Linked DNA regions of Schizosaccharomyces pombe. The gene in region 3 interacts genetically with the main gene of each other region. Each region holds a gene or a part of one and is shown on either strand. Other genes may lie near its edges.

Evidence for each region. Genes that interact genetically often act in the same process or in processes that back each other up.
Region 1: mutations in nht1 (region 3) and nrm1 impair growth when combined (synthetic growth defect), as found in Schizosaccharomyces pombe (one study listed by BioGRID).
Region 2: of nht1 (region 3) and arb1, changing one suppresses a phenotype caused by changing the other (phenotypic suppression), as found in Schizosaccharomyces pombe (one study listed by BioGRID).

Annotation. Positions count from the first base shown.
Region 1 is NC_003423.3:4,283,095-4,289,083, forward strand, and holds nrm1 (protein nrm1), read left to right. Parts: upstream 1-2,849; 5' UTR 2,850-2,947; coding exon 2,948-3,976; 3' UTR 3,977-4,266; coding exon of another isoform or gene 4,267-5,134; 3' UTR 5,135-5,192; coding exon of another isoform or gene 5,193-5,282; 3' UTR 5,283-5,324; coding exon of another isoform or gene 5,325-5,339; 3' UTR 5,340-5,380; downstream 5,381-5,989. Other genes in the region: Hrd1 ubiquitin ligase complex subunit Ufd1, read left to right, coding at 1-419; oga1 (protein stm1), read left to right, coding at 844-861, 1,130-1,503, 1,566-2,028; tad1 (tRNA specific adenosine deaminase), read right to left, coding at 4,267-5,134, 5,193-5,282, 5,325-5,339, 5,381-5,574; nucleoporin Rae1, read left to right, coding at 5,851-5,922, 5,973-5,989. UniProt on the Schizosaccharomyces pombe protein: Negative regulatory component of the MBF complex involved in cell-cycle-dependent transcription.
Region 2 is NC_003424.3:1,897,061-1,902,105, forward strand, and holds arb1 (argonaute inhibitor protein 1), read left to right. Parts: upstream 1-2,905; 5' UTR 2,906-2,991; coding exon 2,992-3,105; exon of another isoform or gene 3,106-3,146; coding exon 3,147-3,229; exon of another isoform or gene 3,230-3,268; coding exon 3,269-3,286; exon of another isoform or gene 3,287-3,325; coding exon 3,326-3,577; exon of another isoform or gene 3,578-3,638; coding exon 3,639-4,371; 3' UTR 4,372-4,545; downstream 4,546-5,045. Other genes in the region: gar2 (nucleolin), read left to right, coding at 463-1,965. UniProt on the Schizosaccharomyces pombe protein: Component of the argonaute siRNA chaperone (ARC) complex which is required for histone H3K9 methylation, heterochromatin assembly and siRNA generation. The ARC complex contains mostly double-stranded siRNA.
Region 3 is NC_003424.3:1,218,146-1,222,774, reverse strand, and holds nht1 (Ino80 complex HMG box subunit Nht1), read left to right. Parts: upstream 1-1,922; 5' UTR 1,923-1,977; coding exon 1,978-2,020; intron 2,021-2,071; coding exon 2,072-2,280; intron 2,281-2,334; coding exon 2,335-3,108; downstream 3,109-4,629. Other genes in the region: psm3 (mitotic/meiotic cohesin complex ATPase subunit Psm3/Smc3), read left to right, coding at 1-1,566; protein mug94, read left to right, coding at 3,888-4,454.

The DNA.
Region 1 (5,989 bases), on a different chromosome or scaffold from region 3:
TTGATTTTGATCCCCCCATCGGTTATGAAGAAAGTTTGCAAAAAAACAAGCAGCAAAATATTGCTGGCGTTCAAGGAACGATGGTTACCAAGATTGGTTACGATGAGCTGGTGAGGCAGGGCGATTCGAATTTGATGAAGGGAACAGGGACTAAACTAAATGGTAAAGAAGTTGCTGAAGTGCCTAAAATAAATTTGCTCGATGTTGAGAAACAAGAATGTCCTGCTCCGTTGATCCTACCATTGGGTACATACTTCTTTGGGTATCCTTATAAAGCACCCTCTATTGAAGAAGATTCTAAGAAAGACCCCAATTTATTTAAGTTTGAAGGTGCCGGTACATCTCTACGTGCCTCTCGCAAAACAAATGGAACAATGGGAAAAGGTTCCTCTGATGACCCAATCGATATTGATGCTTAATGTTAATCGTCTCAAGTTATTACTTGGTTGGATTTAGTTTATAACGATTTTAGTACCAGTCTTTTTACATTGAATGAATTAATTTATTATTTGTTTCAAAATATAATGTAATTAATTCTTACTTAGACTGCCTAGCTTTTTTTTACCAGTAGTATATTTCTTAATAAAACTTATTTTAATGCTAAAGAAATGAATGATTCGATAAAACGAATATTGACAATTGTAAGCCAAGTGCTTCCGATATCATAGAAAAAAGACAGGCATTGTGTTGAATAACTGTAATTTTAAGATAGCCTTAGGTATTACCGTAAGATGATGGACAAAGCACATCATTTGTTTCAACCTACCCTAAGTTTGAGTGACTGCTTTTTGGATGACTGTAGTTGTGTAACTGAACACACACAATTAACTTTCCAGCTTCCAAATGTCTGTTGCATCCAAGGTATGATTTAAACATTTTATCATTAAACGATTATTTTAAGGGTTAGGAAATGAACGAACTGGTAATTATTTGTAGCATGTTTTAGGGCTGTGTTTAAGGTTTCATTACTGCGACCCGAATGAAATACTTTATAGAAGTATAGCCTGTATAAAGACGCTCAAGTATTAAAAAATATAAATTCACATTTCGTTCATTATTCTTTAGAGTGTTAGCTCTGCAGACTCTGCTGATTTTTATTTTGTTTTCGCAAGTAGTAACCAAATTATAGAACCTCTTTGACCTCCTCGGAGAGGAGACTCCCGCAGCTACTACTACCGAGAAGAAAACCGCTGCTTCTCGTGACAAAAAGCGCTCCGACAGCCCTCCTGTCCCCCGCGAATTAGTCGCTCAAAGCACCACCTCTAGGAAGCGTGACCCTAACCAACCCACTCCTCGTGAGCGTACCGTTAATAAGAAGGCAGACCAACCTCGCAGACGCCGTCAAGCTCCTCAAGGAAACGAAGCCTTTGCTCGTGAAGGCAAAGAAGCTCGTGCTAACAACGCTGCCCATCCTGTGGATGCCACTGGCGCCCCCTCCAACCGCCGCAATGCTCGTGCTCGCCGTGGTCGTGAATTTGACCGCCATAGCCAAACTGGTAGAGTGTATGTGTTTTATTTTTCTACATGTGAATGCCAAATTATATAATTGCTAACCATTATTTTAGTGATACCAAGAAGGCTACTGAACGTGGCTGGGGTGATCTCGTAAACTCTGCTGCTAACCCTGATGTTGCAGAGAACGAAGGTAACACTCCCTCTGGAGCCCAAACTCCTGCTGCCGAGGAGGAAAATGTTAAGACTCTTGATGAATATCTGTCTGAACGCAAGTCCGCCGCAAAGCCTGTTGGTCGTACTGTTGAGAAACTTGAAAACGCTACTAAGGTCGAGAAGAGTGCCCCCGAAGAATTGTTTGCCTCTCTTAAGAAGAGCGCTTCTCAAAAGAAGTCTGCTGCCAAGGAAAGCAAGCCAAAGAAGGTTCTTCTTGATATCGAGCAAACTTTTACTGCTCGTCCTGCTCGCGGTGGCCGTCCTAACCGTGCTCCCCGTCGTGGTCCTTCAGAAACTGCCTCAAAAACCCAACAGGCACCTCCCACCCTTTCTGAGACTGACTTTCCCGCTCTTGCATAGATGAACTGGTGACTTGAGAGTAGCCTATTGATGTGGAGCGTTTGATTGGTCTTGGATGAAATTTCGTTGTCAAGCGTATGTGGAAAGGTGTGTGTTATCTTACAGATCCCTTTTTGTTTATTTTCCATTGAGCATCATTCGGGTTTCTAGGTTATTCAGTGATTCTTATCATTAAAGCGGTCTAAGGTGTATTCTGTGGTTGCATTCCCTTTTTTGATCCACATTTTGCGATGAATTGACTAAATATTTTTCAAAATGGTCGAATACTAGTGTGTAAAAAAAATTTCATTCTCGTATCTATTCACAACTAATATTAAGAAGATGCGCGTTTAAATCGTCTACCGACTGTTATCTTGATATAACGTATCTTATTTTTAATCTGTAAATATCAGCCTTAGTAATTGTGTACATAACAAAAGCATATTTCAGTGTACGGTAGGTCTGCCTGTGCAATTCACAAATACTCCATTTATTATTCCAATTGATTTTGTCATTTTCAAATGTCGTTTGCAGGGATATTGAAACGGACGTTGAATAAAGCCTTCTTAACCTTGTAAAATGACTATAGGAAAGTTATGAACGAGTTTGTGTATCGGTAACATAACAGGTAAATCACTCTTCATAATGCAAATTGCGGTTTACTTTTTATAGCATCATTTTTGATAGCTATTTAAAAAATTTGAAAGTTAATATAATTAATAAACTCGAGGATATGAGCAAACTGATAAAACGCGCTATATCGCGAATTCGCGCTTTAAAGGGCGTCGCGTCGCGTTGCGTTGGACACCGCTTATATACGTGCCACAAGTACGCAACAATCGACGAGTCGCAAAAAAACTGTCTCTGATTATTACTTTTCCTTCTGATTCTCTGCTACTAGGAATCTTTATATTGGTTTCCGTTTAGAAAAAATAACAAGATGGATAGGTCAATGGAACCATTGACCCCATCTCGTTTAAACACTTTGGGGGAAAGGCCAACAAACGAAGTGTATGAGTATGGAAAAGGAAAAAATGTGCAACATTTATTTCCTATAACACCGATGCAGAGACCATTAGGAAAAGAGAATGCGGCTCCAGGGACGATTTCACCGATTGCGGTTCGATCTCGAAATGTGCGTGCAGTAGAAATTGCAGATGAAAATGCATGTGAAGAGCCAGTCTTAAAAATAAAATCTGTTAGTAGTACGGAGAGTGAAGAGGAAAAAGAATCTTCTACTGAGATAGGAGAGAAACAGGAAAAAGAAACACATTTAGAACCCAAGACACCAGTACAAACCAATACCAACAATAATCACTTAGACGACATTCAGTGTTGTGCTAAAAACTTACGCTTACGTCTTGAATTGGCTATGTATAAAGTACAAGTTAATCAAACATTTTCCCCTCTGCAAGATCTTCCCATTGTCGCTAAAACGAAGCTTCACAATTGTCCAAACTCTGAACCTGTTACCTCCATATGGAACCAGAGATCGCTTTCTTCTGGAAAGCCTCCGTCCTTACATCTTTCAGGGAATCGCAGGCTTTCCATGGGATCTCCCACGAAGTCGATATATGATCAGAATGGTTTGACAACGCCAAGACCGATCGGTTCTGATGATCTAACACATATGTATGATCCTTATACCTCTCCTTTACGCACCCCTTCTCGTACGCTATCACGCTCCTCCTCTCATTATCTGTGGGTTCGTCATGGTAAATTGACACGTAGCGTATCTCTTTTACAACATAAAACGCCTAGACGCATTCGGCCAAAATCACTTTCTAAAAGCAATTCTACACCGTTAAAGCATTTAAGCGCTCAGAAACCAAATTCAAATTACTATACTGGCCCGCCTACTCCAGTATCCATATCCAACACTCCAGAAAACATTCATCCATCATCTTCCGAAGTAAGGCGTATTGCAAGTCACAGCAAGCAATTTTCAGACTATGGTTTAATTCGATGATCCTTCTTTTTACATTTTAAACCGAGTTATGGAATAATGTTATGAGATGATTTTTATAATACTTTAATTACTCTAGTTGTCGTTCATTTCCTTTCTGACAGATTTCTATATGTGAATTATTTTGAAATGCAAAAAATAACTTTTAATTCCTCGCAACACGTTCTTTTATTTCTTACTTGTTATGTAACAAGTCAGTCGTTAATAAAATTATTATCGCTGGTAAAGCCATCCTTCGTTTTATTTAATGCCTTAATTCATACGTACATCTTATATTGAGGTTTCTAGATTTCTTATATCCATTGAAATTCGTTCCCTCCGTTTGGGATCCAGTTTTTTAAGATATTACGAAGAATTTGCTTTTGCTGGCAACGTTTGATGTTGAGTTTCTTCCATTCATAATAGTTTTTTTCATTAGTCAACGATTGACTTAATTGATGCAGCAAATTCATCATACTCTTTCTACATATTAATGTTTGAGACTTTTCAACGTCTTTAGCTTTTGTTCCCGCTTTAATACCATTATGTATCACTTGAGTACACTGCATTTTATCACCGATCCATATCAAAACGTTTGTACTAGTTGCAGTTTTTTCTGCTTGGTTCAACGGCCGTGAATATAAAAAATTTTCATCCGTTTCCAGCACGGTAAAAGGATGAAAGTAATAAGGATTATCCTTTTCTCCAAATTCAGCAAGTGGTGCGCACCGACCAAAGGGTCCAAATGCTCTGTCAATTGCTGATTTAACTATCACTTTTTTATAAAGCACTACACATGATAAATAGATGGGCTCACAAATGAGGCTGGTCTGGGAATTCAAAATAGAAAGATATTGTTTTGCAGCTAATTTATCAGTACAGCTTTTGCTCCAGCTTACTGGGGCATCAGGTCTCCCCGGTTTAGTACGCACGATTCCAAGTAGTCCAAAATCCGCCCTCCCACGCATTAATTTCTCTGAATCAACTGTTAAGTTCCATGGTTTGTTGTTTTCCAAGCGGCTAGCTAGTAGCTCCATACTCGCATCTCCGCAAGGACATTCGGAAACGTACAGATGTATCAGAAGATTGCTGTTTAGAGTAAATTTACCATTATCAGCAACTTCAAGAAGCCACGTATCTTTCTTTGATTCTTTAATTAAAATACAATGTTCGAGAAGTAATCTTAATTCTTTTATTAGTAACGAATACTAACAAATATACAAATAATTGTATATATTACCTGTTAAAACATCTTAATGCCAGAATCTCAGCATGACAATCATGTAATACACTACCCAGTTGTTCATTCTTAATGATGCCAGCTGGCGTACTAAATTGACTTGTTAATGAAAAAAATCAATTGGTAGCATACCATTTTACACCTGTTCTTTAGATGTCAGTTTACCGATATTAATAAAAAAGACGTACGCTAGACAAACACAAATAAATTCGTTCTCCATCTTTTTCTGAATGACAACACCGGCTAAAGTAGTCCATTCACGCACCCCATTTGCTCTTATGATCGGTTTGCCATGACGGGCTAGTTCATCAAATTTGTTAAGGACTGCAAGAGCTATTAAATTCCCAACATTACTGTTTCTATCTAGGGTAAATTCTTCCATTTTCTAATGAATTTCATAAATCCATACTTTATATTCAATTGTATTAAGAAAAGAGTACTTCGGGAGCGTAAATCCTGTGATATGTTGTGACCGTAATTAAATACTAATATTTTGTTTCCAACTGTTAATTAATAACAATTGGGTATTCCTAATAGCAAAGCTTATTCGCTGTAAGTGATTGAAGTACAAATGTTGGCAAAAGCATTTGTGGTAGTGTGTTGAAGCAAGTAATTTTGTCTGCATACGAGTAATTTACCAACTACCACAACTATTAGAATGTCACTTTTTGGACAGGCTACAACATCTACAGTATCTAATGCAACCGGTGACTTAAAAAAGGATGTGGAGGTTTGTTAATTTTACATATACGCTACTTACATTTGCTAATTACACGATAGGTTGCCCAACCCCCGGA
Region 2 (5,045 bases), 680 kb from region 3:
TTATCGTTCATAAGAATTTACATATTCACCACTCCAGATAATACTACGCAAGACTAAACCTAACTCCTTCGTTTCACTGATTCAACAATTTATTAAATTTCAATATGCTTTTTACCTTTAAGACATGTTATAAGCCTTCAGACACACTCATTTTTTAAATATTAATGGCGAATATTTTACTTTGCTGGTTTGTTGTTGAATAGCGCAGATAGCTATTACTTGATAGCGTAATTAGTTAAACTCGCTTTTATAAAAAATAGTAGTAGTTGAACAAGCTTCTATATTAGTAGTTTAACGAATACGTCTAGAAAATTTGCTATACTAGTATACGGCTTCAGGTACATATATCATCGGTAAAAATTTTTTTGGCTATATATAGCAGCTTGTCGCGCCGTACCAGCAGTCAAACTAAAAAACTCCCAAATTCTTTTAAACGGGCTTTTGGTATAGGTTGTGAATATAATGGCAAAAAAGGATAAAACCTCCGTTAAGAAATCAGTGAAGGAGACTGCATCAAAGAAGGGTGCCATTGAGAAACCTTCCAAGTCCAAGAAGATTACTAAGGAGGCTGCTAAAGAGATTGCAAAGCAAAGCTCTAAAACCGATGTCTCCCCTAAAAAATCTAAAAAGGAGGCTAAGCGTGCTTCTAGTCCCGAACCTTCAAAGAAATCAGTAAAAAAGCAAAAGAAATCTAAGAAGAAGGAAGAAAGCTCCTCAGAATCCGAGTCTGAATCTAGCTCATCAGAATCCGAGTCTTCCTCTTCAGAATCCGAATCTAGTTCTTCAGAGTCCGAATCATCTTCATCTGAATCCTCTTCGTCTGAGTCTGAAGAAGAAGTGATTGTGAAAACTGAAGAGAAGAAGGAGAGTTCCAGCGAATCATCTTCCTCCTCTGAGTCTGAAGAGGAAGAAGAGGCTGTTGTAAAAATTGAAGAAAAGAAGGAGAGCTCTAGTGACTCTTCTTCCGAGTCTTCCTCATCTGAATCTGAATCCGAATCTTCCTCATCTGAATCTGAGGAAGAAGAAGAGGTGGTCGAGAAGACTGAAGAGAAGAAAGAAGGCTCCAGCGAGTCTTCTTCTGACTCCGAATCCTCGTCAGATTCCTCCTCAGAATCTGGAGACAGCGACTCTTCCTCTGATTCTGAATCCGAATCCAGCTCTGAAGACGAGAAGAAACGTAAAGCCGAGCCTGCTTCTGAAGAAAGACCTGCTAAGATTACCAAGCCTTCTCAAGATTCTAACGAGACTTGCACTGTTTTCGTCGGTCGTCTTTCTTGGAACGTAGATGATCAGTGGTTAGGGCAGGAATTTGAAGAGTACGGTACAATTGTTGGTGCACGTGTTATTATGGATGGCCAAAGCGGTCGCTCAAAGGGTTACGGCTACGTTGATTTTGAGACCCCTGAGGCTGCTAAGGCTGCTGTTGCCGCTAATGGTACCAAGGAAATTGATGGTCGTATGGTCAACTTAGATCTCTCTAATCCTCGCCCAGCCAACCCTCAACCATATGCTCAACAACGTGCGGGTAATTTTGGAGACCAATTATCTGAACCTAGTGATACCGTATTTGTTGGAAATTTGTCTTTTAACGCAACTGAAGATGATCTCAGTACGGCTTTTGGCGGTTGCGGTGACATTCAATCCATTCGTTTGCCCACAGATCCTCAGTCAGGACGTCTTAAGGGTTTCGGTTATGTTACTTTCTCTGATATTGACTCTGCCAAGAAATGTGTGGAAATGAACGGTCATTTTATTGCTGGTCGCCCATGTCGTTTGGACTTTTCAACTCCTCGTACTGGTGGAGGTAGCCGTGGTGGTCGCGGTGGATTTGGCGGTCGTGGTGGATTCGGTGGCCGTGGTGGATTTGGTGGCGGACGTGGTCGCGGTAGAGGTGGTGCTCGCTCTGGAAACCCCAACCGTGGCTCGGTTGCTCCATTTTCTGGGAACAAAGTCACTTTTGACTAAGTATACTGGCTTTTAACTATATTGAGTTCATTTTTATGGGTTAAATGTAAATACCTTAGCAAATTAATATATGAGTTTGGGTTTTTGGGAAACTTTTTGGCATAAAGGGTTTTAATAAATGTTGGGCTGTGGATTTGATTTAATTGGGTTGAAGTATTCAAATACAAATGACTTGTTTGGGTTTGTTATGGAATGAATTTGGGTTTGGTTTGGTTTTATTGACTTTATAAAGATAATAAATATGGGCCCGTTGGTTTTACAATTTCAAAGCAGTGATGGTTGGCGTTGTTCTACGGTTTAGTTCATGTATTCACCTTTCCTTTATACGTTCCATAGAAGCTTTTGACATAGCTTTAGATAGGTTTTAATATAAAATAGAATCTTATTTAGTTTTGTTCTTGTTCATCTAATCAATCCATGTTACTCACAATCATCGTTGATCACTTTCTAATAGCTAGTAAATGAAGACCGTTTTGTGTTCCTTTTTGGGCTTTTCCATACGGCACTTTAAATTAATGATTTTTTGTTGAACTTTGATTGTGGTCTTACCCGTAATCATAAATGAAGAATGTAGTCGAGCCATTGTCATATTGTCTTATATCTTCAACTTGTAATGTCTCGTCTATTAAATTAGGTAAGCATCAATAGAAGGTATCATTGATTCTACATTACAAATACGCTTCTATTTCAACTTTTAAATTAATACAAGCATGTTTACTTACACTTTGGTTGCGATTATTTTAAGCAAATTAAAAAAAAATATTTTTGTATATCAAATTATAATATAGCTAAATTCAATTGTAACAGTAGTGATGAGTTCTGGCATATTCAAAAAACGGTTGTAGAATAATATATCCAGCGTTACTAAATCCGGCAAAGGAACTGTCTACTTAACTCTATGAACAAAGCTTCTAATACAACACTGTAAATTTGGTTCCTTAGATTCCCCTTACCACACTGATAAACTAGTAAATCAACTATACGACTAGTGTACTGACTTTCCAGTCCAGATGAAGTGATTGAGTGATGGCAGAAGGTGATTTTAAAAATGACAGTACAGGTTGTATTGGCGATAGCGTGGAATTTACTACTTTTAAAAAACGTACAGGAAAAAGTCTCGGTAATAGAAGAAAAAAGAGGGTATTTCTTAAGCTTTAGAAAACCCGTCTAATAAATATTAGGGATTGTCTGGATGGGAGCCTTATTTTCAAGAACCCGAACTGACAGCTGAAGAGAAATTGGAAAATGAGACATTATACAGCAGGTGAGAATACAAAATATTGTGTCTTACTAACACTTCTAGGAACATACCATTGACTGTGTTAGTAAACAGATGTTAAGGACTTTGCTGACAAATTAGGCGAATGGAGCGATTTATTCAAAGATATCGATCACGCAGAAAATGGAGCGACCCTACAAGAATAAGACTGTTTACAATGTATCTAGATTTAGGAGGCGTTTCTACGGGCCAAAAACAGTTTACAGGGGGTACTGATATTAATAACGATGCGAAGGCACGAGAAGTTTCCGCTCAAACCACGACTGATTATATTGAATACGATATACTTGATGAATATGATATTGATTTTAAGTGGGTTGCTGGAGTATTTCTGTGAGTCATTTATGTTTCCATTGAATTTAATTCACGTTGTATTTTAGCTAATCAATTTAAGGTCGTCACACATTTTGTATAACGCTGGACTAACTAAGGAAGAGGATTTGCAAATAGCTTGTCAAATTGTTAGAAATTTTCTGCTAAGTGTTTTGCATAACAATGTTGCACCAGAATTCGAAGATAATATTCGTGACGCATGTTTATTAGCAGAGCAAGCAGAAACTGAATTAATTTCTAATAAGAGGCTATCAACTAAACTTCCCGGTAGATTGCAGCGGGCATTGGCTAGTATACATGTTGACAATTATAAAGGCTTATGGGACAAATCGCAAAGTGATAGGACAAGTGATAGTTCAGTCAATTTCATTGAATCCAATAATACCAAATTCATGCCAAATGATGAACTATTTGAGCCTGATGGAATTAGTAGATTTTCTACACAGCAAGCGCGCGACTACATCCAGAGAACTCTTGGTCCACGATATTTGACTGGGAAAGTCGTTGAACAAGAGTACTTAACAGTCAAGTTAGTTTCTAAAACGCTATTGAATTTTTCAAACCAATCTTTATGCAAAGCAGTGTTTATCGTTTGGGATCCACCCGGATCTAAATATTCTCAAGATACAAATAAGGAAAGACTAGAAGTAATTTTGGAATCTGATTTACTGAACAACACTGTTGATGGCACTCACTTAGAGGGATCGTTCACTTTTTTGGATAATGGACTGACTATATTAGACACTGTGCTTGCTGTGCTACCCACCTTTTATGAAGAAGTTAAAGATGAATAGCATTGTATTTTAATATAGTTACTTTTGTAATATAGCTGGATATGAAATCCTTTAATTAGTTGCTTCTTCTTATTGTGATGAGGATAAAGTTCTAACATATATTAATGACCCGTTGGTGAGTTCGTACTTCCCCCAATTGCATAAACAATAAGTATAAGAAATTATAATTCCCAATCACATAATAGATATTACTTGTGTATGTAATTTAATGTTTTCAAATATTTTTATACAAATACGTCAAACTATGCGACAATATTTTGAAAGCTAGATCGTGCAGAAGTCGCTTCTGAGTCAGTATTGAGCAATAAGAATTATTCGGATGATTTTTTCAATAATCTTAAGTTACTGTCAGGCTCAATGCAATAAACACGATCAAAAGAACATTTAAAGCTATAATGTGTATTCACTTTTAATTGTAAACACAAACGATTAAAAAATTTACGTGTATAAGTATTTTTCCTCTATGAAGGCTAAAACGTTATGTGGAAAAGAATAGTCAATCATCAATAACGTTCATAACTTGTACTATTGAACAAGTCGTGCTGGGTAAAGATAGAAATCAAGTAACTGGATTGGAAGTTGTGATTAGCATAGCGAAACGCAGCGCCTATGGCGAAATAACCCAGGTGAGGAAAAGACACCTTACAACTCCAAAACGACGAAAATAAATTGGT
Region 3 (4,629 bases):
AAAACATACCAGATCAAATTCTCGGATTTACAAGAAAGTTTGGAGAAATGTCGTTCCGAAATTGAATCTTTTGACCAAAAAATTACTGCATGCTTAGATGATTTGCAAAAGGCTCAACTAAGTTTAAAGCAATTTGAAAGAGATCATATTCCTCTTAAAGATGAACTCGTAACTATTACTGGAGAAACAACAGATCTTCAAGAATCAATGCATCATAAAAGTCGTATGCTTGAGCTTGTTGTTTTGGAACTACATACACTTGAACAACAAGCTAATGACTTGAAATCTGAATTAAGTTCAGAAATGGATGAACTTGATCCCAAAGATGTGGAAGCACTAAAGTCTTTGAGTGGTCAAATTGAAAATCTCTCTCATGAGTTTGATGCCATCATTAAAGAACGAGCACATATAGAAGCAAGAAAGACGGCTCTTGAATATGAATTAAATACAAACTTATATTTAAGAAGGAATCCATTGAAAGCTGAAATTGGTTCTGATAACAGAATAGACGAATCAGAATTGAACAGCGTAAAGAGATCTCTACTTAAGTATGAAAACAAATTGCAAATTATTAAATCTTCATCTTCTGGGTTGGAGGAACAAATGCAAAGAATCAATTCTGAAATAAGCGATAAACGAAATGAATTGGAATCGCTAGAAGAATTGCAGCACGAAGTGGCTACCCGAATTGAACAAGATGCAAAAATTAACGAAAGAAACGCAGCAAAGAGAAGTTTGCTTCTCGCACGGAAAAAAGAATGTAACGAGAAAATTAAATCATTGGGGGTTTTGCCGGAAGAAGCATTTATTAAATATGTTTCAACTAGCTCAAATGCTATTGTGAAGAAACTTCATAAAATCAACGAAGCCCTTAAAGATTATGGAAGCGTTAATAAGAAAGCATATGAGCAATTTAATAATTTTACTAAACAACGCGATTCATTGTTGGCTAGGAGAGAAGAGTTGCGTCGTTCTCAGGAGTCAATTAGTGAGCTTACGACAGTACTTGACCAAAGAAAAGATGAAGCAATTGAGCGTACCTTTAAACAAGTTGCTAAAAGCTTTTCTGAAATATTCGTTAAACTTGTTCCGGCAGGTAGAGGTGAATTGGTTATGAATAGAAGAAGTGAATTGAGTCAAAGCATCGAACAAGACATCTCCATGGACATTGATACGCCATCCCAGAAAAGCTCGATCGACAATTATACAGGTATCAGCATAAGAGTTTCTTTTAACAGTAAGGATGATGAACAACTGAATATTAATCAATTGAGTGGCGGTCAGAAGTCACTTTGTGCTTTAACTTTAATTTTTGCTATCCAACGCTGTGATCCTGCGCCTTTTAATATACTCGATGAATGTGATGCTAATTTAGATGCACAATATCGCTCGGCCATTGCAGCGATGGTCAAAGAGATGTCAAAAACTAGTCAATTTATTTGCACTACTTTTCGGCCTGAGATGGTGAAAGTTGCGGACAATTTTTACGGAGTAATGTTTAATCACAAAGTTTCAACAGTTGAGTCGATTTCTAAGGAGGAGGCTATGGCATTCGTTGAAGGATAAAATGGTTATGGTTTGTTAATTTAAGTTCGCATTTTTCTTTTTAATTTCTTTGCGTGGACAAACCGATCTTTTTGCTATTAGTCATTCTTTCATTAATATCTCTGTTATTTAATTTTATCATACTTAATTTATAATTTTTATATTCATGATGCAATTGCGCTTGAATCAATCAGTGCGTATTACTACCAGAGTTGATACTTTCACATATAGTTTTTTTAAAGTTCTAATCCCAATGGAGAGTCATTTTAATAACTTTTTCCAGATTTCTATTTGTATTCAAAAAATCGAAAGCATGTCGTAGCGTTAAGACTTGTATAAATTCGCTATTTTAGACCTCCAGTCAGTGCTCTTAATTCGCGACAGTACTTACTACATTGTGCGAACAAGATCAAAGGCAGAGCATCTATATCCATGGAAAACCCTCCATACCATGTATCTATTTCCAAATCGGAAGGTGAATATTTTGAAGCTTGATTGATTTTTTCATTTACTAATGAATACTCAGAAATTAAATATCGCCAAAAGTGCAAGGATTTAAAGGCTAGAATTCAGGAGATCCAAAAAGGAAATCAGGAGTTATTAAGCAAATATGAGGTTATTCGAAGAGCTGTCAAGCGTGGCCGATTAGAAAGAGCTATCTTAATGGAACAGTTGGAATTGCAAAGTGAAGCAAAATCTCGCGAATTTGGACAGCGCTCTGAGCCATCTCCTCCTGTAAGTGTTTTTATAGAGTGAATTTATTGTAATACTTGTACTAATCATATGTAGCCTCCTCCCGAAGGTATTAAAATCAAAATATCAACGAAAGGCGCTGGAAACCCGTCTGCCAAGAAGTTAAAGATATCTACAGAAGAAACATCTGATACAAACGTAGCATTAAACAACACGTCGGAAATATCTCATAAATCATCAAATAATTCCCAGCCTAAAGATGCATCCGTCAATGACACAGATGCAGACTTTGAGCAGCAAAATCAAGTTGTTCAATCAAAAGATGAAAAAATTACGAATACTGATCCAATACCTTCTCCTATTATTACAAATCTTAAAACAGAAAGCTCAAAATCATCTGGAGCTAAAAAAGCTACTTCTAATGCCAAAATTACAGACACAATGTTATTCAACCATTTTTCGTCTATTCAAAAACCAAAATTAAAGGCCGAAGGCTCTACCTTGAAGGGACAAGCTTTGAAGAAAACTCTTGAAGATACATGGAATAATTTGACCGAAGAAGAGAAGAAACCTTATCATGAAGGATTGCTTGCAGCGCGTGAGAAGGCCAGAGAAGCAAGACGTCGACGAAGTGCGCAAAATTCAGCAAAACTAGAGAAAGAGAAAGCTAAAGAAAAGCAAAAGGATAAAGATCAAGAACAAGACACTGTTAGTGATAAAAATCAGATAGATGAGATAGAAAAAGGGCAGAAGGAAGTAGATGAAGAACCTGTTTCTGAACCCACCACTTCGCCTATTTTACCTCCAAAAAATCAAGAGCCAATTCGTATGGGAGGATTCACCGTTGTTAATAGATCCTCTAATGCTTAAAAAGAGCTTTCTGATGCAGGCATCAGATCAATGAGGCAATGCTTAAACTTTGTGTCTCAATATTAAAGGTTGGATTAGAAACTAATAGTTTGTCCACAATATATTTTCCTCCTCCTTGCCATTTGCAAAACTTTTTCAAGGTTCCGTTTTCTCTTCACATTATTTACTACCATTTATTCTTTTTTTTTGACTTAAAGTCATAAGATTATCAAAGCAAAAATTTTGAAAGACAATTAAGCGAATGTGTGATTTGAAAGTGGAATTAAGGCAATTACCAGCTGGTTTGTGATTAAACAATGACAACACGAGTTCGATTAATAAGTGTTTAATTTTTTTTTCTTTTTTTTCCAACTTTTTTTTGAAATACTGATTTGGAAAAGAGATTCGTGGTAACGACGAATGATTGTATTTTTTATCAGGGAGAAACTTTTTGCGATTATTTGAATATTTCTCTTCATTCTTTGATAATCTTTAATGATAAACTGTTGTATTTTTTATATATTTCTAACCCCAAGTCCTTTCTTATTTGCTGATTTGGTGTTTATAGAAGCCATCACTGTACGCTTGTTACTATGTTTACATTCACCGGAGTCCAAAATGTAAACACCATGGGTATTGTTTATGTTTACACTCCCTTTTTCTCCAAACATATTAATGATTTTGTGAACAGTTGTGTTTTCGTATTTTAGTGAAATTGCATATTACAAAATATCAAAACAGAAAAAAGAAAAAGCCAATATTAAGCGTGTATATTTTGTGAAACGTGAATAAAAAGAGCAATGGATTTCAACAAAATTGGTGACGAAAATGTCGTTTTCCAAATCTTTAAATTGGAGATGCTAATAATGTCGGAATTTCCTAGCTTTATCGAAGAAAAAGATAAACTTTTATGTCTCAACGTCTTAGCAAATCTTCTAGGAGGAATATTTGAAAACGAGGATAAAATAATTCCCAATTATAAAGAAGCCGTCATAGCGGCTCTCTTTGAACGTTTATTGCTATCTTCAAATCAAAAAAGTACCAGTAAAAGCAACCAAATGATTAAATTGCTAAACAATTCGTTAGCACATAATAACGGTTTGCCATCTCAAAGATGCAACCACGATTCAAAATTGGTGTATATGTCGTTAGTACAAAATAATGGTTTACCTGGTCAAAGAAGCAATTACGTTTGCTGTCCCTTATGCATGGAGCAGCACTGTATCGAACTGCTGACTTATCAGTTATTTGCAAAATGGCGAAATTTCCCAAGGATTGATTTTTCACCTGTTCTGCAAGGCAATCGGGGACCGCGATTCTTCTATACTTGTTTTCTGTGCAACTCAACGTTTTTAGCATCAGCGTGATGATTACGACAAATTTCTGCTAAAAGATGGATACATGAATTGCATCCAAATATAAATGATGATGAAAACTACTTATATATATCTTAATACTATCGTTATCTTTCATAGGTTTCACTCCAAAACATGCCAAATAAAAATGTATGTACTCGTTAAGCCAAAACAAATTACAAACTAC